Danio rerio: one gene and its partners. The protein of the gene in region 2 binds, or shares a complex with, the protein of the main gene of each other region. Links are inferred from orthologs where the notes say so. Each region holds a gene or a part of one and is shown on either strand. Other genes may lie near its edges.

Region 1 (3,500 bases), on a different chromosome or scaffold from region 2:
TTCACAGATATCTGGGCAATTGGCTGTATCTTTGCTGAGCTTTTGACCTCAGAGCCCATCTTCCATTGTCGACAGGAGGACATTAAGACCAGTAATCCCTACCATCACGATCAGCTCGACCGCATCTTTAATGTCATGGGCTTTCCTGCAGGTATTCTGCATCTACTTTTCATTCAGGTCTAGGTCATTCATTTAAAAATAAATGGATTGTTAAAAATCCCAGTAGGGGGCAGCCTTTCTGAAGAAAAATAATCTTGTCAAAACAAATAGAATCTAACAGTTCTGAATGCAATACTGATTGTTTTTTAGGATTGATGAAAACAAATAAACAGAATTGCATTGACAAATGGGTCATTATTGTTAACTTAAAATCATACAGGATCAGAAATAAAATGTATTTAATAAAAAAAATTTGTGTGTGTGGGACTACAAAAAGAAAATAGAGCATTTAAATAAAAGAACATTTAGGATGTAATTTAACTATTCCTATTACACTACAGATTTCTTTAATGACTTAATATGACTGGATGAATGTAATTAAATTAAAATGTAATTTTTAATTTAATATTCTGGGTAAAATAAATGAAAGATTGTTGCCAGATTGTACTAATTCATTCATTCATTTATTTTCATTTCGGCTTAGTCCCTTTATTAATTCGTAAGAAATTTGAAGGCCACAGGAACAGTTCTGGTGAAGGACAGATGTGCTAAATAAAGAAAATTATCTGAAAGGCAAAGGTGAATTATGGTTAGAATGGTCACAGACAAACAGCAGACCACCTCCAAAGAGCTCCAGGAACATCTTGCTGCTGATAATATCATTGTACATCATTCCACAGTCCAGCTTTCTCTTCACATTGAAAAGCTCAATGCATAGGAGATGCAGAAGAGGCGTTTGAGGTATGCAAAGTCTGATCTGGACAAGCCTGAATCATTTTGGAAAAATATACTGTAGACAGATGCCACAACTATAGATGCTTTGCATGATGGAAAAACAACACAGCATTCCAGGAGAAGAACCTGCTGCCTACTGTAAAATATGGTGGACGGTCCATCATGCTTGGCAGATTTGTGGCAAGCACAGGTGCTGGAAAACTTGTCAGTTTAAGGTCACATGGATTCCACCCAGTATACGCAGATTGAGAAGAACAATGTTCAGAAATGACCCAAAACAGTTTCAGATCTACCAAGAAATTCATGCTCAGACATGATACAATGATCTAGAATGGCCATCCCAATCCTCAGACTTGAACATCACAGAAAATCTATGGATTGATTTGAAAAGGGCCGTGGCACGCTCGGCACCCATCAAACCTAACTGAACTGGACATTTGCAGTCAAAAATGCCTTCAGCAAGACTTCAGGGATCCTTGACTACAAGAAGTGTCTATTGGCTGTTATTTTAGCAAAAGGTGGCTGTACAAAAGATTGATGTCATTATTCTGTTGGGGTGCCCACATTTTTGCACTTTTTTTGCACAAGACTTGAATTGCATTGCATCTGTTGATTTAAATAAATCTTATGTCAGAACTAAAATGTTGCTTTTTCTTAGGGTATAAAATATTTCTTTATGAAATTGCTGATTTGAAAGGCCAGCAGGCTATGGCTTGCAATTATAAAAATGATCAGAGGTGGCCAAAGGTTTGCATAAAACTGTAGATCATAGAAATACAAAAAATCACAATGTCTGATTTTTTTCTGATATCGTGCAGCTCTAGTGTTCTGCATATTCTTTGCTGATTAGAGCATTAAATTAAACCATTTATTTACAGTTCAAGTCATCTGATGTCGGTAAATGTGCTAAAATCTGTTATCTAATTTTCTTCTCAGACAAAGACTGGGAGGACATTAAGAAGATGCCGGAACACTCGACACTGATGAAAGACTTTAGGAGGAATACGTTAGTTTGAGCTTCTTTTTTTATTAAGTTGTCTCATTGAGTGACAAATTTGGTATGACAGTGTTTGTCTGCTGTAGGTACACTAACTGCAGCCTTATAAAGTATATGGAGAAGCATAAAGTCAAGCCTGACAGCAAAGCATTCCACTTGGTAAGCAGATCAAAAGAAAAGCAAATCTTTTATCCTCATATTTTCTCATGCAGATATTAACCTCTGTACACCCTCTCAGCTGCAAAAGCTGCTTACCATGGACCCAATCCGCAGAATCACATCTGAGCAGGCCATGCAGGACCCGTACTTCCTGGAGGAGCCTTTACCCACATCTGAGTGAGTGATGTTGACACTTCTGCTGTGACCAGCAATTATCAACAGCTTTTCTGCAAGTGAAATGCATGTAGACTTTACATACGTTGTTTTCTGGAAAACAAATAACCGATTAAACCAAAAAATGTTTTGCTTTTAAACGCTGTATAGTGAGTTTAGGGAGTATAGAAGAACATACAAATGTTCTTGATTTCTGAGAATGTCAAATTGACCATGTTTAAACATTTTTTACATTTTTCTCACTCAAAAAGAAACCCTTTAAAGATCCTGTGAAGCTTTTTAAAATGTGCAGAGTTTTTTTATTCGATGTTTGACAATCTCAACGAAGACAGGACAGGCAGGACTTAGTAGCTTCTCCCTTTAAAAAACAGCCAATTGCGTTTTATTTGTATCACAGCTCTGCCAGTGAGCTCAAGTGTATCAAATGAAAAGTATGTAGAAAGCATTTGATCAAGATTTGAGAAACTGAAGTATGAGGTGATGTGGAAAAAAACGTTGATCCATTTAGGCATAAATAAACTCTACATGTTTATATAGATTTTGTATCTTCTAAATTCAAATTTTGTCACTGTTTTGTACCACACTATAGCTTATACATATCCTTTAAGACTAACATACTGATTCTGACATCTAAAAAACATGATTTGAACTTCTCTGGACCTTTAAGTTCAGCTGTATTCAAAACAAAAAGGAATGGAAAACAAAAGAGATAATACTAATAAAAATAATAGTGGGATTTTTTTTGCATTAGATTAAATTAGTTGCTTTAGAATATAAATTGCAGGATGTTAGCAATTCAAATCTGTTTTTTGTTTAGTGTCTTTGCTGGCTGCCAGATTCCTTATCCTAAAAGAGAATTCCTGACGGAAGAGGAGCCAGAAGACAAGGCAGATAAAGTAAGAAATGTGTGTTTTCTGTCTTTTTTCCTCTTCTTTTTCGGCATTTGTTTCACACACATACTTTATATTTGTATTATTTTATTCTATAAGGCCCTGATGTACTTGTATCTAAACGCTCTGGAAGTTCTGCTTTTTCTAACTTCTGAAGCTAAATTTATGACCAAAGTTTCTTATAAAATGTCCTTACTGGGCTTCTTTTTTAATTTTGAGAGTTTTGTATTTTACTTTATTGCTATTTTTTTTTTTTAATACAGTATTACACAATAGAAAATATCAGTCGTTGCTACATACATTCAGAATCACCTTTGCTTGAAATTATTCAATCTAACCTCTTTTGTTTGTTTTGTATTTGAAATTGTCCTGCTGATGAGCAGATT
Region 2 (3,500 bases):
ACACTGCCCTGGAGGGCCGGTGTCCTGGAGAGTTTAGCTCCAACCCTAATCAAACACACCTGAACAAGCTAATCAAGCTCTTACTAGGTATACTAGAAACTTCCAGGCAAGAATGTTGAAGCAAGTTGGAGCTTAAGTCAGCAGGACACCAGCCCTCCAGGTCCAACTTTGGAAACCCCTGTTCTAGGCGTTTAAAATGTTGTCAGAAAAAAGTCAAAATTGAGTGAGTTTTTCCTTAATGCTAGCAAAATAATCTGCCTAATAATCAGGGGTGAGTAAAAAAAATTTTTTTTGGTTTGCAATAAGATTGTTTTATGTACCCCATTGGCAGATTATTTTGCTTGTTTTAAGAAAAAACTCACTTAATTTTGACAACTTTTTTCTGAAAACAAAACAATATTTTTACTTGTCTAATGTCTTGATATAAGAATATTAAGATATTTTGACTAAAAACAACACAAAAAACTAAATAAAAAAGCATATTTTTGCAGTGTGCTGAATAATCATTCTATATATAGTCAGATATACATATTCTATATGCAGTATATAGTCAGACTGTAATGTAATGTGATGTATTTTTTATTTACGGAAATAAACCATAGCAACAGCAACCAAGGCTATTTTCATGGCAAGAACATTTCAATAATAAATAAACAATTTAAAACAACAAACAAATAAAAACACAAGTTAAGTAAGATATTTTTGTGTTAATAATACATGATAAGAATTCTGGTTTCACTTTGCTAAAAATGTCCTTAAGAGAGTTCATTTCATTAAAAAAGTCTTCTGGAATTATTAAAAGCAGGACAGTCCAGTGAAATGTGTGGGGAGTTGTGCAGAACAAACATTGAGTGGGGTCTTCATCTTTAAGTGAAAAGGCGTGAGTTAATCTTGTATGTCCAACACAACATCTAGTAAAAATCACTCGATCAAATAGTCTTAAAATTCTGTTTGACATTTCAGGTTGTATTTCATGTAATTTATTAATTTCCAATGCATTCCACTCCTCTTGCCACTTATTTAAAATGTAGATGTTGATAAAAAGGTATAGTCAGACTGAAACGCCTCAATAATAAGAGCTTCAAAAAAATGTTCAACATCAGAAAATTTGTCTAACAATAATTTCGGTTTGTTTTTCACCAAACCTTATCATATGTCTACAGAATAATTGCAATACATGGCATTTGTTACATGGAATTATTCTTTGATATGTTTGCATTTTTATTCATATATTAACATTATTCTTATATTTACACACCCTCAAACCTTTATAAACCTTTGTGTTTATAAAGGCTGCTGAACACAAAACAACATACTTTTTGAATGTTTGAAACAGTTGACCACTGACTTCCATAGTAGGAAAAAAGTCAATGGTTACCACATTCCAACATTTTTCAAAACATCTTCTTTTGTGTTCAAAGGAAAAAAAGAAATTCAAACAGGTTTGCAACGAGTGAAGATTGGCAGAATGTTCTGTTTTGGGTGAACTACCTCCTTAAGTGTGATTGTGATTTAACTACCATTACACAGGCATGCATGAGCATCAAGAAGTTCTCATGCAAAAAGGAATGAACAGTATAGGGCATTAAAAAAACAACAAAGAGATAGACGATTGGGCGAACAATCCCTTTAACCAGCATATAAAAGAAGTAGAGGTTTCTACTGAATCCACACACACTCCTCACCAAGCCAGCGGCAGCAGCATGTCCTCCTGCCCCATGTCCTGCACATACTGCAATAGCGGCCTGTACGGATGATACACGATCAGACAGCAGTCCTGAAACAAAACCAAACCAAACATCCATCAACAAACGCTGAAAACACAACTTCAAGACAACCTCAAGAATCCATCAATACCAACCATGAGCTCCAGCAAGTAGAATTCACACTCCAGGATCTAGCGAGATAAAGGCATAAGTTCACTGTGAAATCATGGCGTTAGCATGTTATGCGCACTAATTGGCATTTTCCCCCCTTTACTAAATGGAGACCGCAATGTTTCCTTTACACCACCTGACTAGTGCTGTGCTGAATAAACAACACTGCTAGTAATCATATGGCACTTATCACCAGCCCGAGACATGAACGGCCAAAACCAGAAGTCATCTATCAGGATAATGAGACTTTCCTACGAAGGTGTTGCGAGTGTGAGGAATTTCACTCCTGAACGGGTGTCAGAAACACTGCATCATCAGCACACACACACTCAAACTCTCGACTAGTGTTTCCATCATATGAATCAGACAAGTTACAAGAAATTATTATCTGGATGTATAGTGATGCTGTCAGATTTCCAAAATCTCCTAGTGAAGTCATGCTCTCGGGAAAGACTCTCACATGACGGTCTCATCATGTTTTCTGATGTAGTGAAACAAAGACGTTTGACTCACGTGGTTCATTCTGAAGGGAAACTCCTTTGGGAAGGCATAAGAGAACCTTGTTTTCACTATTAAAAAAAGAAAAGTCTGAGAAATACATATATATTACAAAAGTGACTATTGAGGAAGACATTAAACTGTTTTTTTAGTATAATCGGGATATGCTTATATTTTGTTTTCATTTTAGTTTTTTCATGATTACATTTTTAAACACGTCTATATAGTGTTTTGTTAGTTGTTTTTATATATCAAATTAAACTAAATTAAATTTAGTAATAGCAACAATTCCTTGGCTATTAGATCAAATAAATTACAATATAATATAGATTTTCTTATTTGAATATATTGTGCAACTTCATATAATGTATATATAAAAAGTGTTTGTATATGTATATACAGTTGAAGTCTGAATTATTAGCCCTCCTTTGATTATTATTATTTTTTTAAATATGTCCCAAACGATGTTTAACAGAGCAAGAAAATTTTTACAGCATGTTTGATAATATTTTCTCTTCTGGAGAAAGTCTTATTTGTTTTATTTTGGGGAGAATAAAAGCAGTTTTTGATTTTTTTAAACACCATTTTAAGGACTAAATTATTAGCCCCTTTAAGCTATATTTTTTCGATTGTCAACAGAACAAACCATCGTCATACAATAACTTGCCTAATTACTCTAACCTGCCTAGTAAACCTAGTTAAGCCTTTAAATGTCACTTAAAGCTGTACAGAAGTGTCTTAGAAATTAGTTATTAAAACTTTTATGATTAGAAACGTGTTGAAAAAAATTGTTAATCAGAAAATGGGGGAAAAACTAAACAGGGGGGGGGGGGGGGGGGGGGGCTAATAATTCTGACTTCAACTGTATAAAGAGTTCAGATGAAAAAACTTCAGTGACGTCTGAAATTTTCCTCTAAAAGTTGTGTTTTTCTCAGCCTCCAATATTTATGATCAGTTACTCCACTTTAAAGGCAATGCAAATAACCTATTATTTGCCATAAGAGTAAAATTACTGAAGTGACACACAAAAGCCTGAGGAAAAATGCTAATTTTAGATGAAAATCTCAGATGGGACTTTTCTCTCTTTATATACAAAAAAATAACTTATTATAAAATATACAAGTA
Region 3 (3,967 bases), on a different chromosome or scaffold from region 2:
AAAGAGGCCAGTGGCACTTGTAAATCTCAGTTTATATGTGTTTTCCATCAGATTTTTATTTTCACTCTCCGTCTTTTAATCCTGAAGTCTTCTGAAATGGCAATAATTATTTTTTAACATTAATAGATATACATAATTCATATCAAATTCACATTGTTTAGATTACTAGAATGGACACTTTATTTTTCTCCCAGTTAAACAGCCACTTAATGAGTGAGTTTTAGCTACTTGTAGCGTTCAGAAAAAACGAAATACCCATGAAGATACTCGACACAGAGGAACATAACCTACTGCCAGCAAGTGTACGGAAGTGTTATTGCAGAGCAACACAAACAGCATGTATACAGTAGTATAAATGCACGACTACCCGCAAGGCAGGCACCGTGGATCACTGCGATCACGCAGAAGTATAAATCAGCCATTTTAAAAGGGATTTTTGCACAATTGGTCCCCTTTTAAACAAGATGTAGACAGCATATTTTCTAAAGCAATCTAAATGTGTTCTTTGAGCTTCATCTTTATAGTGTTGGTTTGTGTTGCAGCTTCCTGAGCAGTACAGACTGATGCACATACAGCCACCAAAGAAGAAGAGCAAACACAAACACAGACATCATCACCCTCAGGATCCTCTACCGCTAGGTCACTTCAAAAGCTCATGGATTTTCACATTTTATTTCCTCTGTGCACCACATGCATGTTAACTTCCTTTCCCTGTGCAGAAACCCGCACTGACCCCACCAAGAAGAAGAAAAAGAAAGATAATGAACCTGAACGCAGGAAGAAAAAGAAAGACAAGAAGAAAAAAAAGGTGAGCCACTTTGTTGATGCGGCGCAGAATCTTACAAATTTACAATAATTAAAAAGTGTATTGTTGAACAAGGTTGAATGCTACAGGATGTTCCTGTATAAATAATAATGCGTTATTAAAATTTTAAAAATGTATACACATAGGAAGCAGCTTTGCTTTGGTGTAACATCTGAGCAGCCTTGAACAATGCTCTTTATAATTATTTATCATTTTTGCTTCACACAAATATTATTTCAACAGTAAACTGTGTTTATTTTACATTTAAAAGGATGTGTAAGCTTAATGAATGCGCCCTCTTTTACATGAATATTTTACACTAATATAGTTGTGCATATATACTTTAGATTAGTCAGTACTAAAGCTAAGACTGGAACTGATCTAACAAAAAGACTTAACATCACGGTCTAAAAATGAGACCAGCCAAATTAATTAAAGGTGCAGTAGGTGATTGTCTACAGAAACATTTTTTGATGTGCAGGTTGAAAGTCTCTTCACATTCCTATAGTAATGATTAAATTAAATGATCTAAATGTATTTACATGTATTTTTGTATTCTGGGTAAGTCATAAGACTAAAAAATGTTAATTCCCATAATTCTGATAAGTAGCCCAAACTGTCTGTCAACAAATGTAGACTTGTACATCTGCGCTGCTATTCGTGCAAATCTGCCGTTTGTGTGTGCACGTGCGTTCACGTGCACATGAGAGAGAGCGCGACCAGTAAAAACAAATGCTGAAACAAAACTTTATAATCCTGAATCAATATTGAAGTTAGTTTTTATGCTGGAGGAAGAACGAGACCATGGCTGAAGTATTTCTTTTAGACAGGTCATGTTCTGTTTTAAAACTATTAAGTCACACAAAGCTGATGTAGATTCTGTTGTTTCACGGATGTGTTATATGCACGAAAGTGTAATTCCTGCACCCGCCAGCCAACCACTAAGCATACAGTAGTGGCTTTAGGACAAAACGTGGGAGAGAGTGAGACCAACGATCCTTGTATGGATGAAATATTGCACATTATGACAAGTTTTGCTTGCTACACGACTGAAAACATGCTGGATATAATACAGTATTTTGTACTTTACAGTAATAAAGTATTGTAAAGTTTTTCAACTGGCGAATGACAAGAGTTAGTGGGCTGTCTACTGTCATCTTTGCAGTGCGTGTTTGTGATTTCAGGAGGCGTGGCTTTGAAAAATAGGGGTGGGACTGTTTTCTAAGATATTATGCTAACCGGTTAGCATTTTGGCAGATCACCTACTGCACCTTTAATGAGAAACTTTTTGTACAAATTTTCTGTCTCTCTATTCCTGAATGCGTTAGGCGATTTAATTTAATTTGAATAAATATAACAGTTTGATACAACACCAAAATATATTGACGATTCACAGAGAAATTGATTAAAAAAAATAGGAATTTTCCAAAAGGGTTGCAACTCATTTATGCTTTAAACCGTATGCATGTGTGTGTGATTTAATTTTTTTTCTTAAATTTATTTGAATAAAATCATTGTTTTTATCTTTTACTAAAACTAAATAAATTTTCAAACTTACTTTAGACATCTTGCTTCTCAATAAATGTGTCTTGATTTAAGTAACTGATAAGTTATTCACAATAGGAAACAAGACAGTATTTTGCAGTATAACATTTTATAAATAATATTAAAATATAACACATTAGGGCTGCACAACATATTGTTTCAGCATCAATATCACAATGTGATCATTCGCTATAGTCACATCGCACATTTGCATGTGTTTTTGATGCCGCTGATTGTATAAATGATTTTAAAAACATTCAGCTATATGAAATTGTACCATTTGTGACTTTAACAACAATTAATTTTTAATTATTTTTTATTTTTATCATTCAAGTTTTACTTGAATACTGTTAGACTCACACTTTATTTGTATTAAAACACTTTATTTGTATCTTTTTCTTGATTGTATTTATAGATTGTTGTGCATGAAAATACTCGCAACACATGCAAATACAGAAATGCACTGCAAATAGCACAGACCACAATGAAAATGTGCCAGAGGACCCCAAAAATGTTAAAAATAGTAATTATAAGAATCTAATTTTATAAATTATTTCCAAATAGAGACAGTCATCTGGTGAAATTTTATTCATATTGTAAAATATATTGCAGAGATATATTTTTTCCAATATTGCGCATCCCTATAACACAATATTAAATGCTCAATGTTAGTGGCATTCAAAATCAAATCGATGGTCTGCACAGTGTAGAATATGTCCCTAGAATCTACTTGATACCTTAATTATGTTGTAGAATAATTACTTGTTTATTGCTGGGACCTGTCACATTTAAAGTACACCCCATTTAGTCTTGTTAATGCATTTAAAAGGTCTTGGTCTGTTCCCTCTTTTCTTTTAGAATCGACACAGTCCTGATCATCCTGGTGTTACTGGATCTCAACCCAACAGCAACAGCCTGAGATAGAACAGTTGTGTGTGTGCGAGTGTGCTTGTTTGTATGTATGTTTGCACACATGAAGTGATGTTGAACTGTGTTAGAGAATCTGATATGGACCAGTGCGGTTGATTGATGTTTACAAGGGCCAATTGTTGATGATTTTTGACTTCTTTTTCTGGTTATGATGAAAAGCTCAAGGAATAAACTTTGTTATTCTTTATACAGTCTTTAAACACACTCTTTCTTTTTTGTTCACAATAACAGATCATAAAGTGTGCCAAGAAAATATCCCCCACACCATTACACCATCACTAGCCTGAAGTTGTTGATGCCACATTCTGACCATACCATTCGAATGTCACAGCAGAAATCGAGGTTCATCAGACCAGGCATAGTTTTTTCCAGTCTTCTATTTTCCATTTTGGTGAGCCTGTGCCAATTGTAGCCTCAGTTTCCTTTTCTTAGCTGACAGGAGTGGCACCCGGTGTGGTCTTCTGATGCTGTAGCCCATTCGACTCAAGGTTGGATGTGTTGTGCGTTCAGAGATGCTCTTCTGCATACCTCGGTTGTAATGAGTGGTTATTTGAGTTACTGTTGCCTTTCTTCCATCAGTTAGAAGAACCAGTCTGGCCATTCTCCTATGACCTCTGGCATCAACAAGACCACAAAACTGCCACTCACTAAATATTTTCTCTGTAAACCCTAGAGATGGTTGTGCAT
Region 4 (3,939 bases), on a different chromosome or scaffold from region 2:
GTTGTAGTGATGTTCTCTTTTCCCTGAAATCATATGAAATATTTCATTGATTTGATATTTTTAATAAAATATTGCATTGAATTATTTAGAATGCTTAAATCTTTTCTGTTCAGTATCACACAGCACTAATGGTAAGCGACCTACAATTTGGCACCATATTGTCTGTTTTTGCTTTATATTGACAAATAAAATAATATAACTTTATAGTTTAGGTTATGTAAACTGCAGATTTATGGAACAAAATCAAAGTATTGTTAAAAAAAACAAAAACAAAAAAAAAACGTATTGAATAGCACAAACTGAAACAAATAATATATTAAATTAACAACTGCTTGCATTTTAATGACTTGGATTGCCAGAGTTTGTAATTTTAGGTCTTGAAATTTAACACAGCTGTTTATTTAAGCTGTAAATATTTCAATTAAAAATTTTTCAAACACGTTTTTATACTTGAAAATTCTTATACTTATTTTATACTTAAAAATAATAATTCTTAATTTCCGGATTTCATGTATAATATTCAAAAGACAATTTTCAACTCACTTTATTTCAGTTCAAAAGTTCTCTTCCATTAATTTAGTGGATCAAATTCGGCTGTTAAAATTTAACAAGGACAATATTAAATGCTACTTTTGTGCTGTTATTAGCTTTTTCCCTTAAAAAGGGAGTTTTTAAACCTTTATTTAATGGTTTAAAAATCTTAAATTGGTCCACCTGCTAGTGAAAAAGCAGCTGGAGATTGCCAATCTGCAATCTATTGCTGTTCCTGCAGTTCCCGGAAGTAATGTCGAATTTTAAGAGCCAAATTTAAACCACTGAATTTTTGGAAGCAAAATTTTAAACTGAAAAGTAAACAAACTGAAAGTTAAATTTTGAACATTATGCTTCATATTTTTCACCAGTATTATATATTTAAAAATTGAACTTTTAATATATATATGAAATCTGGAAATTGAATATGAATTGTTGAAATTTTAAGTATAAAAACATGTTTAAAATATTTTTAGTTGAAATATTCACAGCTTAAATAAACAGCCGTGTTAAAATTCAGGCCCTAAAAATACAAACTCTTGCAATTCAAGTCATTAAAATGCAAGCAGTTGCTTATTCAATGCATTATTTTTTTTCAGTTAATGCTAATCAACAAACTTTTTATTTCAATACTTTTGCCATTAATTTTGTTCCATACAGATTAGGCACACATACTAAACTTGTAATTCAATTTACATTTTTAAATACAACTATATACAGCTAAATTATTAGACCACCTGTAAAATTCTTAATTCCTTTTCAAATATTTTCCCAAGTCATGTTTAGCAAAACAAATATTTATATTTCTATTCTAAACTATTACGTTTTAACTTATATAGAATGTCTCATTTCTTTATTCTGGTGGCATTAAAAGAATAAATTTCTTAAAACGTTACGGTCGATATTTTTCACCCCCTTAAGAACTTCTTATATTCGACTGTCTACAAAACAAACAACTGCTGTCAAATGACCAGCCTAATTGAGCTAGTCAATTTTTTAAACAGGACTTTAAGCTGAATAATAGTATTTTACAAAATAACTAGTAAACTAATAAATAATTAATAATACTAACTAATAAATAACTAATAATAAATAACTAATAAATATTATGCACTAGAACTACACGATATTGAACAAATTTTATATCCTTCTTTCTTTCTTTCTTTCATGCTTTTATTAGAAGCACTCATCATCCAAAGAAGAAATGTTTGACAAATTAACAATCTATTTCAACAAGAACAACATGTTACTTACTTTAGAAATTTAGCATATTCTGGTTCCTTCCAATAAAGCAGATACTTTAAATAATTGACGAAAGGCTTCTCTCTCAGGTAACCTCTCTGAGCCAGAACTGCAGGATGGGGGGAAAAAATTAAGATTAATAATCATTATCCATCTTCATATTTCGACCACAGTAACAAAATTACCTTGAATTTACAGAATGTAACAACCAATGAGTGAATTTGACCAATGACTAAAGTAATGACTGAATTTAGCGAACAGTAAAAAAGAAACAAGAGTTAACGTTGTTCTTACAGTTCAGGTAGTTTGGGTTTGCCAGACATTGAACAAACTCCAGCTCCAGCTGAAAGCGCTGTCTCGCCTGCTCGTCTGTCAAAGCACAAATAGAAGCGTAAGCAATGTTTGTGTTTGAAAAGAAATAATACAAATAATCATTAGTAAATGTATTCATGAACTACCAACGAACAATACTTGTATTAGTGCATAATTAAAATGCAAGTTCATGCTTGACATTAGTTGATGCACCGTAAGTTGAGATTACTTTATTTCATTAATACTTTTAACAAAGACGAACAAACACTGTAATAAATATAACGATTCTTGTTTGTTCATGTTAGCAAACATTGGCTAACGACGATACTACCTTAATGTTAAGTGTTACAGAAATTGCTTGAACAACATATATCTGCGCCAGTACAGAAAATAACACATAGTGTAGTACCTCTAAAACGTTGTATAACTTAATATGATCAAAACGAAACTAAAATACGTTACCAAACAATTGTATTTACGTTAACTGTCACATTGCTAGGAATCTCGTGGGCAAAGATGTGCTAAATAACAATTCAATCTAATTTTAACAAACCTGTTTCCATAACACCAGCCATTACGGACAACGAGAATTCAGACGACGCTGAAATATCTGGAAAATGATTAGTATAAAAAGATTTTTTAGAGCGCGATTACCAAAAACAACACATTACTCATTGTTTATGCGGACATAGACCGCTGACGCCATTTTTGCCATAAAACCAGTGCTGCTGTCGTAAAAGTGTTTCACGACATTTGCACCTTTTTTTTAAATAATAAAGAATGAAAACTTACAACCACAATCAGGAGATCAATATAAGAGAGATACAAAATAGGAACAATACAAACTACATTTGTAAGGGGTAAGTAAATTACACTTGTATAAAATTGTATAAAAATAAATTAATTAAGAGCTATTTAACTCAAATCAGAGTCAACAGTTCTTCATGTAGAGCCAAGTATCTGACACATTTTTTGTTGTTGTTACACGTACGCAAAGATTTGAGCAGGAGTCAACTTTAATGAGAAAATGTCGAAAAGTAGGGACTGAAACAATGCATATTTGTATAAAATATTTCCAAACAAGATAAAAAGTTGAAAACAAATTCTTCAGATTTATTCTGAGTAATAACAAACACTTTATTTTAAACTAAAATATTGTGCAAAGGTAGGAGGAGTGTTTAATAACGATAAAGGTCAAACCAAAATTTCTGAACAAATTCACACATACAAAATAATTGTATTAAAGTTTCATCATCCTCACCACAAAATGTACAACTACTCGGAATATCAAAATGTTTAGAAACAAATAAGTAAGCCGAATAAAGTTCAGGCAATATTTTAAAAAAGTATTTATGAGGCATTTGCACCTTTTTTTTTCGTAGTAATATTTGTAGCCTACAAAATACATTTTGTGACTTGGAATATAAGAAAAAAAAATCTATTTTCCATGATAATTTGGTTAAAAAGGTGTTCTATTGGTCTCACAGCTTAAAAGATGAAGGATATTTACTGACTTATAGGCTACTGAATTTTTTTGAGAAGTTTAGTTCCTGTGCCTCCACAAGGCCTGGCGGGGCTTTTGCAGAGTTACAGTGAACCAAATAAACTAACAGTTAAAAATGAGATTTAATTACATGGTGTTGATTTCAAAGATAGAAAATGTAATAATAAATTTTGTAGACGCTTGATTTATTATCTTGCCACTTTTAGACACAAATACTTTTGGAATAATCTGAGAATATCTATTGGAACTTGATCTGGACTTATAACAACAAGTATTGTGTCACTAATAAAGTGAAATTATACATAAAATATATCCAACCAACCAATTTCTCAAAAGATGATCAAAAGTTG
Region 5 (3,925 bases), about 4.1 Mb from region 2:
TCTTGTGTATGAAAAATTAAACAAATAAATAAATCAGTCACTTATGTATTTAATTATTTTATGCATTGTCTAAGATTCACTAAAGTGTTAAATTATAATATATATATATATATATATATATATATATATATATACATATATATATATATATATATATACATATACATACACACACACACACACAAACACATATATACATACACACACACACATATATATGCATGTATGTATGTATGTGTGTGTGTGTGTGTGTGTGTGTGTGTGTGTGTGTGTGTGTGTGTGTGTGTGTGTGTGTATTTACATTATCAGCAATCATCACCTCATAAATATCAATGTAGTCCAGTTTATAAACAGTACAAGCAGTCATAAAACCCAAATACACTAGAACAATAATAGTTAGCTATATAGAGGTAAAGTCTGTTTTATATTCACATATTCAGACTTTCTCCTCAATAAGGTAATTTCAGAAAAGTAATGTTTACAAATTCTAAATAGGGAAATCATTGTCGATGTTGTTTTGAAGTCATCCTTGCCTGCTAATGTCTATCGAATATTCAAAGTAACGTTAACGTTAACATGGTAAACAATACAGAGACTGCTAAATAAACGAATGTGCGACTATAAAAGCAACGTTACCTCTATGTTAGCTATTATGTGGTAACAATAATAGGGTTATTTCAGATTGATATATTGACCTTAAATCAGTACACGAATCGATCACTAATTGATCAGCATTTCATTCTTAGGATTATTATTTCAGATTGATATGTCGGCAGCTGATTCACTCTACAAACACGAATTATTTGTCACATGTGTGCGTTTAAAAGGGATTATATAATTAATTAAGCGTGATAAGTAAGATATTTTGGGATGTTTGTGTTTATTTAGCGTAACGGTGAACTTTAGATCAGTTGCAACATCATATCAATCACTAATTGATTAGAAATACATAGTTGACATGATTGATTTCGATTCATATGTCGCTAAATGAGCTGAGTCACACTTTAAACAACTGTTATTTGCCACATATGTGCGTTATATAGGGATTATATATTTTATCAAGCGTAATAAAGAAGGTATTAGGGGTTTAACGTTACTCACTCTCATCCTGAGCGCGCAGTGAACCGACCCACGACAAGACGAGCAGAACCAAACATTCTCTCTTCAGTGGCATTTTCCCGGATCAGTCCAGTCCATAAACACGCTTTAGCAGAAGCATTTACATTCGGCAGTCATGTTGAAGCTTCACATCCAGCCTCCGGAAGTGTCAAGCACTCCTGCTTTGCGCGAAAATGCAACAACTTTTCAGTAGACGAGCGCTTTCGCTGTACGCTGCGCTGTATCACGTGATGTAGCATTGAACGCGCTCGGCGGAAACGGAAACTGTGAAGAGGAGCCAACATGGCCGACAGGCTAACGCAGCTTCAGGATGCTGTGAACTCCGTAAGACTCATTTAACGTTTATTTTATACTTCAGAAACTGCAGAACACAGCAAATGTCTTCCGAACAGATTTACTTAATAGTCTGGTTCATTAAATTGGATTATTTGCTTAAGAAGTCATGTTGATGTACTGTAGCGTCTGAAGTGTTAGCATAGCGTGCAATTTGTGAACAAATGAACAGGTGAAGTTTGTTGTCATATGTGTTTTGATACTGTAATAAATGTTTTACTTGTTATAAATAAAACGAAACTGAAAATAATAGTCCTATTATAATCTAAGTAAGTGTATATAAAAGGCACCGTTATATAATTATAATATAACATATAATATATACATACATTTCTGTAAGTGCTATTGTTACTTATATATTGGTGAAGTACACTTAAATATTTCTTTTTTTGTGTTCTTCAAAGTGCAATATTAATTATTTTTAAATTGTTTTAAATTAATGTTGTTTAATCAAACATTACATGTAATTGTGTTTATTCATATATTACATAATTCACAATCTTAGCACTGAGTACTAATACTTCTCATCATGTCAAAGAACATGTAAACTGAAAGTAACAGTGGATTGTCCTGCATGTCTGATTTACTGCATGTCGTGTTTCAGCTGGCGGATCAGTTCTGTAATGCGATTGGAGTTCTGCAGCAGTGCGCACCACCGGCCTCCTTCAGCAACATCCAGACGGCCATCAATAAAGACCAGCCCTCAAACCCCACAGAAGGTGCTCTCATCTGCACTGATCTGAATGTGATCCACTTTGAAAATAATGTGTTTTGAAGTTGACATACTAAGATGTGTTTTTTCTAGAATATGCTCAGCTGTTTGCAGCGCTGATAGCAAGAACAGCAAAAGATGTTGATGTGCTGATCGACTCTCTGCCCAGTGAAGAATCCACTGCAGCCTTGCAGGTACATTTATTATATACACACACACACTGTATCACTGGCCAACACCACATTATTATTATTGAATCATTATATAATTATTGAGCCTTCTGCTGTTTAAAATATGGTTGTTCTGCACTTCAGGTTTTGAGTTCTGGCACTCAAAGAGAAGAAAATCAACTGTAAATTATATTGTTGCATTAAAAATGAATCTCAGCTTAACCTGTGCATCTCATATCCATTTCTGGAGAGCCACTGCTTTGCACATTTTGAGTTATGCCTACATAATGGACCTGATTATAAATATCATCTTGCTAGAAGAAAGCTCCAGAAGCTGCACTGAATGTACAGAGCAGTAGGAGCCCAGAAATGGATTTGAGAAACACTGAAATATACCATGACAATAATACACAAATGACCAATTAGCTAGATATTAATCATATTACAAACTTGATTACTGTTAATTGCTCATCCCATGCCACATATATTGCACATCTGGCTCTGTGCTACCCATGTTGTCCAAGTACAGAGTGAACAACAATACATTAGCATTATACCTCGTCTCTACTTGTTGTCATTTCTGATGCGTTTCTTAGGCCGCCAGTCTGCGACAGCTGGAAGAGGAGAACCAGGAAGCTGCAGCGCGTCTGGAGGAAGTGGTTTACAGAGGAGACGCCCTGCTGGAGAAGATCCAGACGGCACTAGCAGACATCGCCCAATCACAGCTCCGCACCCGCAGCGGAGCCCCGAGTCAGCAAACACCTCCAGAATCCTGACAGAAAAAAACCACAACATGAACTATAGTGTCGGGACACAGCAGGGATTTTATACGCATCCTACATCGACTGCAGGAGACTCACTGTTTCACATCGGTTTCTGGACTAAAGAAAGCTGATTTCCCATCGCATGTCTTTATTGTGCGACCTCTGTTTTTTACCTTGTGTAATGTTCATCAGCGTGTTACTACCATTAATAGTCAGCTTCTGGGTATGTTTTGTAAATTAAATGTTGTTTTTTTCCCTCACCAGCATTATGCTGATACTCTTGTTTTGAAAGAAGTTATGTTTAACAAATAAAAATATATTGTATGACATGCTTGTTTTTATTTTTAACTTTGACCTGTTCAGGGTTTAACGCTATGGATTTTTTCTACTGGTCCGATCGGGCCAGTGGTTCAGATTTTTACTTGCCCTGCCAAATTTTTTACTGACCCCACCAAAAATAAAAAAAGAAGAGAAAAAAAAGCTAAGATGATAGCTATTTTTAGCCACATATTTTAAATAATGTGTCAAAAACAATGTCTGTGAATCTCGAATTTCAATACTTAAAGATGCTTTAATAAATAATGAGCAAAATTCAAAGTGTTATGCAAACAAAAAGAGCAGTATGGAAAATGTGCAGGTTTTTTGCAGTTCAAAATCTATTAATAAAAGGTGGTTGACTTGTTAAACTGACGGCAAATTGTGTTAAACATCACTTCATTTTGTTGTTGTGTTGTTCCTACGTAAATATCTGCTTCCAATACATTAGAAACAGACATTCTCTTTAAGCCTTCTAACTTGCTGTTGCTGTCATGTTGCTGTTTCTTTGC
Region 6 (3,981 bases), on a different chromosome or scaffold from region 2:
TATATCGTTTCAGCATTGTGCGCATAAGCAACAGTCACATCGCATGATATATGCAATGTTAAGTCTAAATTATTGTTGACCAGGAGCCACAGAACACATGCGGTTTGTTGAGTCACTGCTAAGTTTAACCATAATACAGTGAAAGTTTATCATTTGCATGTGTTTTTAAAGCCTGTAAAAGTACATTACAATAGAGTTTAAACATTGGGGAACAAATGTTATGATGTTTGGAGGTGTAACAAAGATTATATGTATTTATTTATTTATAATTCATGCAAAAAATGTTTTTTTTTACTTACATTTTAGTTTCTAGTCCAAACATCTACTTTTCAAAGCGATGCTGAAAAACCTGTAACCATGAAAGTCAGTGGTTTCAGCTTTAATCAAAATATGTTGTTTATTTTTTTATTTTTTTTCATAGAATCACTTGATGGTAAGTAAATAGTGAGTAAATGTTCATTTTGGGTGATCTATTTCTTTTTACATTAACATTAAATAAATTGTCGGCTTGTTGAATAGTTTGAATTTGAATAGCTTTGTTGAATAGTATCTTGAGATCATCTGATCTAAACTAAAGGCCTGCAATTATATGGTGTGGCCAGTGAGGCGCTGTAGCACAAGACTGCTATAATTCAGCTCTCTCTGATGCAATAGACTTGCTGCTTTGGAGATTATGGCTCAATTCCAAATGGCACAATTCAATGTGGTCCTGCGGACTTAAAATGGCTGCGTGCCACTTAAGAAGGGTACTCACAAGCCCCTTCTTTGTGGCACTGTATGCACATCAGCTGAGACCAGGGTTTTAATCCACATTTTGAAGTATAACAACAGTAACCAGAGATTTAAAGCAACAACACTAAACTGCAAAAGAAAATATGATGGCGTTGACTTGTGGGAAAAGATGTATACAATCTGATCTGATGTGGTAAGCAGTAAACACATGTAACTAATGGGCTATATGCACAGCTAGCGTTTTCAGCCACTGCTAAACTTCCGGTGAAGGGTTAATGTGACTATTTTAAAGCTTATAAGGTTCCTTTTACAGCATCAACATCTTAATATAATTAAAATACAATCAGTTAAATAATCTTAATCATTTATTTAGTTGGTCAAACATGAAGCCAGATGAAAGACATTGAAAAATTGATGTAAAATACAATTTCATATTTTAAAGAGATGGCAGGCAAAAATGGAATTTTATGTGCTTCATGTCTGGTCTTCATGACCCATTTTATGTCGTATATCAAGCAGGCAGTGAAGATCACTTATTTGTAAAGAAATCAGATCTTAAACGTAACGATTTTGTAATGAAAAGACCAGGCTGGCTGGCTAATAACTAAAAGTCTGTGTGCATATAGCCCACTAGCTGTTTCACTAGTATCTGTACATAGAATTAGTTTTAGCAATTGTAAGCTGCATTGCACTTCAAAAAATGCATTTCTTATATATATTTGTCTTGTTTCTAGTCTAAATATTTCAGAATCCTTTAATTAAGAAACATTTTTTAAAACTGTGAAATTTTGCTTAAAACAAGCTAAATAATCTTGTTTTTAGTTTTGGCAATATTGTTTTTCTTAACCCGTTGGCAGATATTTAGCTTGTTTTAAGGATATACTCACTTAATTTTCAATTCAATTCCTGTTTATTTCTATAGCGCTGTATAGCAATATAGATTGTGTCTAAGCAGCTTAACATAGAAATTCTAATAAACTGAAACTGTGTCAGTCAAGTTTTCAGAGTTAAAGTTTAGCTTAGTTCAGTTCAGTGTAGTTTAATTTTCACTGCTGAACTTCCAAACACTGAAGTGCAAATCCATCCATGAACAGCTCCACAAGTCCCAAACCAAGCATGCCAGTGGTGTGGAACAGACTTCACCAATTGACGAAAGTGAAGGGGAAAAAAAACCTCAGTTGGCCACTACCGTTTCACCTCTGGCCAAAGTTCAACTATATTTTGACATATTATTTTTTAAAACAAGACAATATGTTTTGCTTGTCAATAAAATGTTTCTTGATTTAAGAATTGTTGATTTTTGAACTAGAAACAAAACAAAAAATATCTAAGTATCTAAGAAAATTAAAAAAGAAAGGTAAAAGAAAAGTTAAACTAAAAAATAAATTAAAAACAAGTTTTGTTTTGTTTTTTGCATCTTGGACATTTTTATAACTTTACAACATTTGTAAATAATGCTATATGAATATCCCAAATCAAACAAAAACTGCTCAGGGGTAGCTTAAATAATGTGTTGGTGCTCTTTGGGTAAGGGATTCATAAGGGAGTTGACAGAGTTTGCATGAGCTCGGGTTTTATCTCAGATTTGCATATATATGGAAGTCTTTGACTTGTATTGAAAAAGAAACTGCTTTGCAACTGCTAAAGAAATAATTTCTATACAGTATGAATTACTGCTTCATTGTGATCATGTGATTTAGCAGAATCAGTTGCATTGCTTCTCTGCTTTCACAAATTCTCTTCTGCGGCCTCATGTTGTATTAAATGTGTCCTAATTCACTCGACTGAACTAGTAAGTCATTTTAGCAGTTTTAACCTACTCTTTTATGAGTAGAGTGAAATAAAAATAATAATTTCTTTGATCACATACTGCTTTGACATACTATATAGTGGGAAAGTAAGCGATATTTAGATGCAGCCATGTAAAGTCTGATCTATGAAGTTTGACTTGCTTTTATATGCCAGCCTCTCTATGTACAGCAGGGTGGTATGCAAGGCATGCAGGGGATGCATCCTATCCAGCAGATGGTCCATGCAGCACCAGGAGGGGGCGCTCAGATGCAGCCTCAGTGGAGACAGCCTCACCAGGGTAACGCTTAATTTCCACTACAGTATCATTAGCACCATTTATTTTTATCACATCTGTGACCTTGTTAATTGTGTAAGAGATTGAATTTATTTGCTGTGGTTTATGCTTCATTTCATTTCCCCCCCAAACTTTGTAGATTTATATTTCACATTCCCACAGGTCCACTAATGGTCCCGACGGGTCCACGTGGTCCAGTCACACAGAATCCAGGGATGCCTTCGGTGTCGAGCGTCATGGAGGATGAAATTCTTATGGATCTAATCTAAGGACTGTTTTCCCATCATTCTTTGCTTCAGAGGTTTAATTACGGAATATGAAAGTCATCATCTTTTTTACTTTTTGTTAGAAGAAAGCGTGTAGGGGAAGAAGGACTTTATTTTCATACTCAAGTATTCGTTGATGCTTTTACACACAAACTTATCACCGTATCATGTAAGCGGTTCATATGGAGGAACTGGAGGAAAAGACATTTACAAAAAATTAGGTTCCACTTTGAAGACTCAACTACTCCTCCCATTCATAAATGAATGAATCAAATCCGGTTACTACTGTATTTTTATGAGCATTTTACTTTCTTTCGGTTTTACTTTTTTTATTATTTGTCTTTGAGATCTAGCATGTTGTTTTATGAAAATTAAATAAAGTTAATTTTCTCAAGCAGCTTTTTTTGTGTTAAAAAGTCTCCTAAATGGGCAAAGTGTTCCCCATGAATACAAAGGAAGATGTTTTGAATAGTTCATCTATAATTGAAGTCACAGGGACACAAAACTGCTCATTTATCTGTGTAGTTAGCAACATTTTTCATAACTGATTTTTTTTGTATTATGTAGCCAAAAGCATTTGGAATGAAACAAGTGGGATTTCAATCAGGGGTTGCCAAACTTTTCAACCTAAAAATATCAATGCCGGTGACTCGCGTTTAGGGCTTCACAATTCTGGCTAAAATAGGAATCACAATTTTTATTTATTTTTTTGCTTAAAATCAAGATCACGATTTTCTCACGGTTCTGTAGATGTAAAATAAAGGTTAATAAGTGTAGGCTATTATAATGTTATTCTCAATCATATGGTTAAACAACAACAATAATAATAGTAGGCCTTTGTGTAGGTCTACTGGTGGTTGTATAGGTGTATAGACTTGGATTGATGAACTTGAACAT
Region 7 (3,500 bases), on a different chromosome or scaffold from region 2:
TTTGCTAATATAAGTTAGTATCTTTTAAGTTCCTTTTTTTAAATAACTCTAAATGCATTTTAGCAATTAGAAGCTACTATAAAGATTATTGAGCTGAAGTTTGACTACAAAATTGAATCATCAAAATTGTAATATCTTTAAAAAAAAAAAGTGTAGTATGGTATTTTCCCCAAATCGCACAGCCCTATCACCAAATTAATAATTATGACAGACCTACATAGAATGAATCTTTGCATTCTCCTATCCACACACATTTATTGTTGTTTTGACACTAAGCACATCTTTTAATCTGTTAATATGTGTTCAGACATTGATAAGGTGATGATCAACCTGAAGACAGAGGAGTTTGTTCTGGATGGACCACCCCTCCAGTCCCTTCAGCAGCTTATTCAGTGGGTCGGAGACTTTGTTCTGTACCTGCTGGCCAACCTTCCCAACCAGGTGAGCTCAGCTGTGATGATCTTTACTGATGATCTGAGGCCTTTTACACAGAATGCATTTTTCTTCTCCAACCCTCTACTTTTGTATTGCTTTTTTAATGTTAAGACATGCTAGACAGACATATTTGACCATTACACTTGCTTCTCGTGTCTTTTAAACAGTGGTGGTAAGAGTACAAAAAAATTGTACTCAATTACAAGTACTGTTACATTGCTGAAATTGTACTCAATTACAAGTAAAAGTACTGGTGTTAAAAAGTACTCAAGTAAAAGTACAAATTACTCTTCGTAAAAACTACTCAAATTACAAAATTACAAATTACTTTTTTAGCTTGGCGGTATTGGTGGAATTATCCATAAATCCGGAGTCAGACAAGATTTAGGCAGTAAAACACATTTTACATAACACATCTAAAGATACTATAAACACTTTTTAAACTGTGTAAACAGCATTAATTATAGATTATAATTATATAGCACCTATAGAGGAAACCCATGCCAACATGGGGAGAACATGCAAACTCCACACAGAAACACCAACTGACTCAGACAGGGCTTCAACCAACAAACTGTTTGCTTTGAGGCGATAGCGATACCCACTGCGCACCATGATTATTTTACAAAAACAATGTTTTGCTATTTTGAGTATAAAGATAACAGAAATATGCACAAATGCACGACTTCTTATCATTTCAAATGATGCCTCTTTTATCTGTACGATCAATAGATGATTTAATATATAAAAAATAAACACTTGCAAATTATGGAGAAACTTTGTTAATTACCTAATTCGCCAACTGAACCGTCAGAAACCACAAAACAACACTGCCTAGTGCCTAAACATATTATTAATAAATTAAATATCACACAAATTAAGTTATGTCTTCTTACCATAATGTTTTTTTTCAGATTATAGACTGAAGTCTTGTAAAAAAAAAAAGGGTTTCTGCAGATATCGTAATGTCAAATGTAAGACTTTTTAAGACTACGTCATATCTTTAATATTGTTCAAGATTTTAAAAATAATTATTTTTCATTATTTTTATAATTTATTATGATTACAAAGTTGGGTGACGGGGTGGGGCAGTGGGTAGCGCTCTCGACTCAAGGCAAAAAGGTCGCTGGTTCAAGCCTTGGCAGGGTCATTTGGCATTTCTGTGTGGAGTTTGCATGTTCTCCCCGTGTTTGCATGGGTTTGCTCAAGATGCTCCGGTTTTCCCCACAGTCCAAACACATGCATTTTAGGTGAATTAGGTAAGCTAAATTGTCTGTTGTTGTAAATGAGAACGGGTTGCAGCTGGAAGGGCATCCGCTGTGTAAAACATATGCGGGATAAATTGGCGGTTCATTCCGCTGTGGCGACCCCAGATTAATAAAGGAACTAAGCCAAAAAGAAAATTAATGAATGATTGTAATGAATGAAATCTTTTCAAGATTTTTTAAATCAAAGTTTGATGCATCACTCACTTTTGTTTATATCACGGACAGTTCTACCTGTTAAAGTTAAATATCAATGACAACAGAACATGGGTTACTCTACAATTATTATTTTTTTATTCTGGCAAGAATAATAGCAAAAAAAAATTTTTTTTTTGCCCACTCAACAATTGACACATTATTGTCTGGCTAGTTTCTGTCCTCTACTAATGAGCTGAAAAGGCAATAATGGTCCAACAATCCTGTCCATCATCACCAATAAAGCCTAGAAATTGGGCTTCAGTATACTGTAAGCTGATGGGTTCATATATTATTTTCCAGTTATCAAATACTTAATTTGTTCCTTAATTTTTGTTACATTGCTTTAACTTCAAAATGATCCATCAGTGTAAAACCTATAAATGGTGGAAAAACATATTCTGTAATCTTAAAACCACCTGGGTCTCCACTTTTGCCATGGCCTCTTTTTTGTTGTAACAAACTTATCCCCCAGGTTTTTCCAAACTTTAACAAAACACTTCCTTTCCATGGCTGTTGCAATTTCTAGCCAAGAATTATCGGTCATCTGGTTATCTCTTTGTCCACGCATGGTCGGATAGTTAAGATGTCTGTACAGTCGTACTGTTACAAACAAAATCTCTTCAAAGTGATTCAAATTCAACTCAAATCTAGCACGGCGCCGCGCGAACTGTTCACCCGAAATCATGTCGCGCGCATCCAAAGTGAACCTCCGCAAACACGGCGATGACGTCACATTCGCCGCGCGCACTGAGCTATTGCATGCTGGGCTTATTTGTAGTTTTAATACTGCAAATTACAATAGGACTAGTGAAATAAAGAACTACACCACCACGAAACCAAGCAACAACAAAAAATTATATTAAATGAGCATTAGAAGTAGCGTTACATGTACATCGGAAAAATAAGACATGTGCAAACATATTTCAGATCTAGAACAGCGAATTTAAGACTTTTTAAGGGCTAAAATTTAGATGTTTATATTTTAGACATTTTAAGACCCCACAGAAACCCTGTGTAAGCCGGATGGCACAGCCGAGGGCAGGTTTCATCCACTTATTTTTGCGCTTTTTGGATATGCACATAAAACGGTAGATGGAAACGCTATAATGCGCATATATTTTGAAAATGTGTGTGAATGGACAAACCAGCAGGCTAAGCACATTGTAAAACATCTAAAGTGTTGTTTTGGTCATTCTAAACCGCCTCAACCATTTCAGTATTATATTATATTAATAATGACCTCCAGAATTGTCAAGAGTTTCTGCACTCCGTAGGTGAACAGCTCCTCCGGGTGTGGCCATGCATTCATCCTCTGCTATTTCTTCCTCATTTCTTCTGTCTTACATCTCCATATGTCAATTGATAACTTTGTGATTGTATGATGACGGTCACGTAAATCTGCAGTAGCCTGAACTTGTTTTTCGGTTCAAATAATGTACCAGGCTTTTCATTGGTCCGTTAAGATCAGCTTTTTTTATTGGCTACCGAAATGCTGGTCAGTGCGTGGCTGAAATATTAATTTATTGACAGTACTCTGTAACGAATTGTGATTATAAAAGTAACGAAGTAGATTACTCAGCTTAATTTGTACTCAAGTACAAG

Evidence for each region.
Region 1: the proteins of ccnc (region 2) and cdk8 are in contact, whole or in part, in a crystal structure (PDB 5CEI), measured with the Homo sapiens proteins. The link is inferred for Danio rerio from reciprocal best matches to the Homo sapiens genes CCNC and CDK8. Residues at the interface, in NP_005181.2 of Homo sapiens: Met1, Ala2, Gly3, Asn4, Ser8, Ser9, His10, Gln13, Phe72, Tyr76, Lys79, Ser80, Ile81, Asp82, Leu85, Leu93, Lys96, Val97, Glu98, Glu99, Phe100, Gly101, Val102, Tyr130, His134, Leu136, Glu137, Glu139, Phe140, Tyr141; in NP_001251.1 of Homo sapiens: Met1, Asp2, Tyr3, Asp4, Phe5, Lys6, Leu9, Arg13, Gly58, Ile59, Ser60, Met61, Cys64, Arg65, Ile67, Ala68, Leu69, Arg71, Glu72, Leu73, Val84, Leu86, Ser87, His88, Arg91, Lys92, Val93, Asn145, Trp146, Val147.
Region 3: ccnc (region 2) and med19a share a complex: the UniProt entries of both Homo sapiens proteins name them as parts of the mediator complex. The link is inferred for Danio rerio from reciprocal best matches to the Homo sapiens genes CCNC and MED19.
Region 4: ccnc (region 2) and med31 share a complex: the UniProt entries of both Homo sapiens proteins name them as parts of the mediator complex. The link is inferred for Danio rerio from reciprocal best matches to the Homo sapiens genes CCNC and MED31.
Region 5: ccnc (region 2) and med21 share a complex: the UniProt entries of both Homo sapiens proteins name them as parts of the mediator complex. The link is inferred for Danio rerio from reciprocal best matches to the Homo sapiens genes CCNC and MED21.
Region 6: ccnc (region 2) and med25 share a complex: the UniProt entries of both Homo sapiens proteins name them as parts of the mediator complex. The link is inferred for Danio rerio from reciprocal best matches to the Homo sapiens genes CCNC and MED25.
Region 7: ccnc (region 2) and med16 share a complex: the UniProt entries of both Homo sapiens proteins name them as parts of the mediator complex. The link is inferred for Danio rerio from reciprocal best matches to the Homo sapiens genes CCNC and MED16.

The regions. Positions count from the first base shown.
Region 1 is NC_133199.1:25,411,879-25,415,378, forward strand, and holds part of cdk8 (cyclin-dependent kinase 8), read left to right. Parts: intron 1-7; coding exon 8-151; intron 152-1,830; coding exon 1,831-1,900; intron 1,901-1,977; coding exon 1,978-2,050; intron 2,051-2,129; coding exon 2,130-2,227; intron 2,228-3,041; coding exon 3,042-3,120; coding exon of another isoform or gene 3,121-3,129; intron 3,130-3,500.
Region 2 is NC_133179.1:6,192,111-6,195,610, forward strand, and holds part of ccnc (cyclin-C), read right to left. Parts: intron 2,447-3,500; coding exon 2,391-2,446; intron 1,898-2,390; coding exon 1,862-1,897; intron 1,778-1,861; coding exon 1,686-1,777; intron 1-1,685. UniProt on the Homo sapiens protein: Component of the Mediator complex, a coactivator involved in regulated gene transcription of nearly all RNA polymerase II-dependent genes.
Region 3 is NC_133189.1:26,390,927-26,394,893, reverse strand, and holds the end of med19a (mediator of RNA polymerase II transcription subunit 19-A), read left to right. Parts: intron 1-542; coding exon 543-639; intron 640-719; coding exon 720-808; intron 809-3,208; coding exon 3,209-3,274; 3' UTR 3,275-3,467; downstream 3,468-3,967. UniProt on the Homo sapiens protein: Component of the Mediator complex, a coactivator involved in the regulated transcription of nearly all RNA polymerase II-dependent genes.
Region 4 is NC_133196.1:43,308,451-43,312,389, forward strand, and holds the start of med31 (mediator of RNA polymerase II transcription subunit 31), read right to left. Parts: upstream 2,801-3,939; 5' UTR 2,661-2,800; coding exon 2,639-2,660; intron 2,143-2,638; coding exon 2,068-2,142; intron 1,883-2,067; coding exon 1,786-1,882; intron 1-1,785. UniProt on the Homo sapiens protein: Component of the Mediator complex, a coactivator involved in the regulated transcription of nearly all RNA polymerase II-dependent genes.
Region 5 is NC_133179.1:2,082,969-2,086,893, forward strand, and holds med21 (mediator of RNA polymerase II transcription subunit 21), read left to right. Parts: upstream 1-1,356; 5' UTR 1,357-1,401; coding exon 1,402-1,443; intron 1,444-2,056; coding exon 2,057-2,171; intron 2,172-2,257; coding exon 2,258-2,358; intron 2,359-2,930; coding exon 2,931-3,110; 3' UTR 3,111-3,425; downstream 3,426-3,925. UniProt on the Homo sapiens protein: Component of the Mediator complex, a coactivator involved in the regulated transcription of nearly all RNA polymerase II-dependent genes.
Region 6 is NC_133178.1:29,240,529-29,244,509, reverse strand, and holds the end of med25 (mediator of RNA polymerase II transcription subunit 25), read left to right. Parts: intron 1-2,712; coding exon 2,713-2,821; intron 2,822-2,980; coding exon 2,981-3,087; 3' UTR 3,088-3,481; downstream 3,482-3,981. UniProt on the Homo sapiens protein: Component of the Mediator complex, a coactivator involved in the regulated transcription of nearly all RNA polymerase II-dependent genes.
Region 7 is NC_133186.1:14,629,193-14,632,692, forward strand, and holds part of med16 (mediator of RNA polymerase II transcription subunit 16), read left to right. Parts: intron 1-307; coding exon 308-441; exon of another isoform or gene 442-604; intron 605-3,500. UniProt on the Homo sapiens protein: Component of the Mediator complex, a coactivator involved in the regulated transcription of nearly all RNA polymerase II-dependent genes.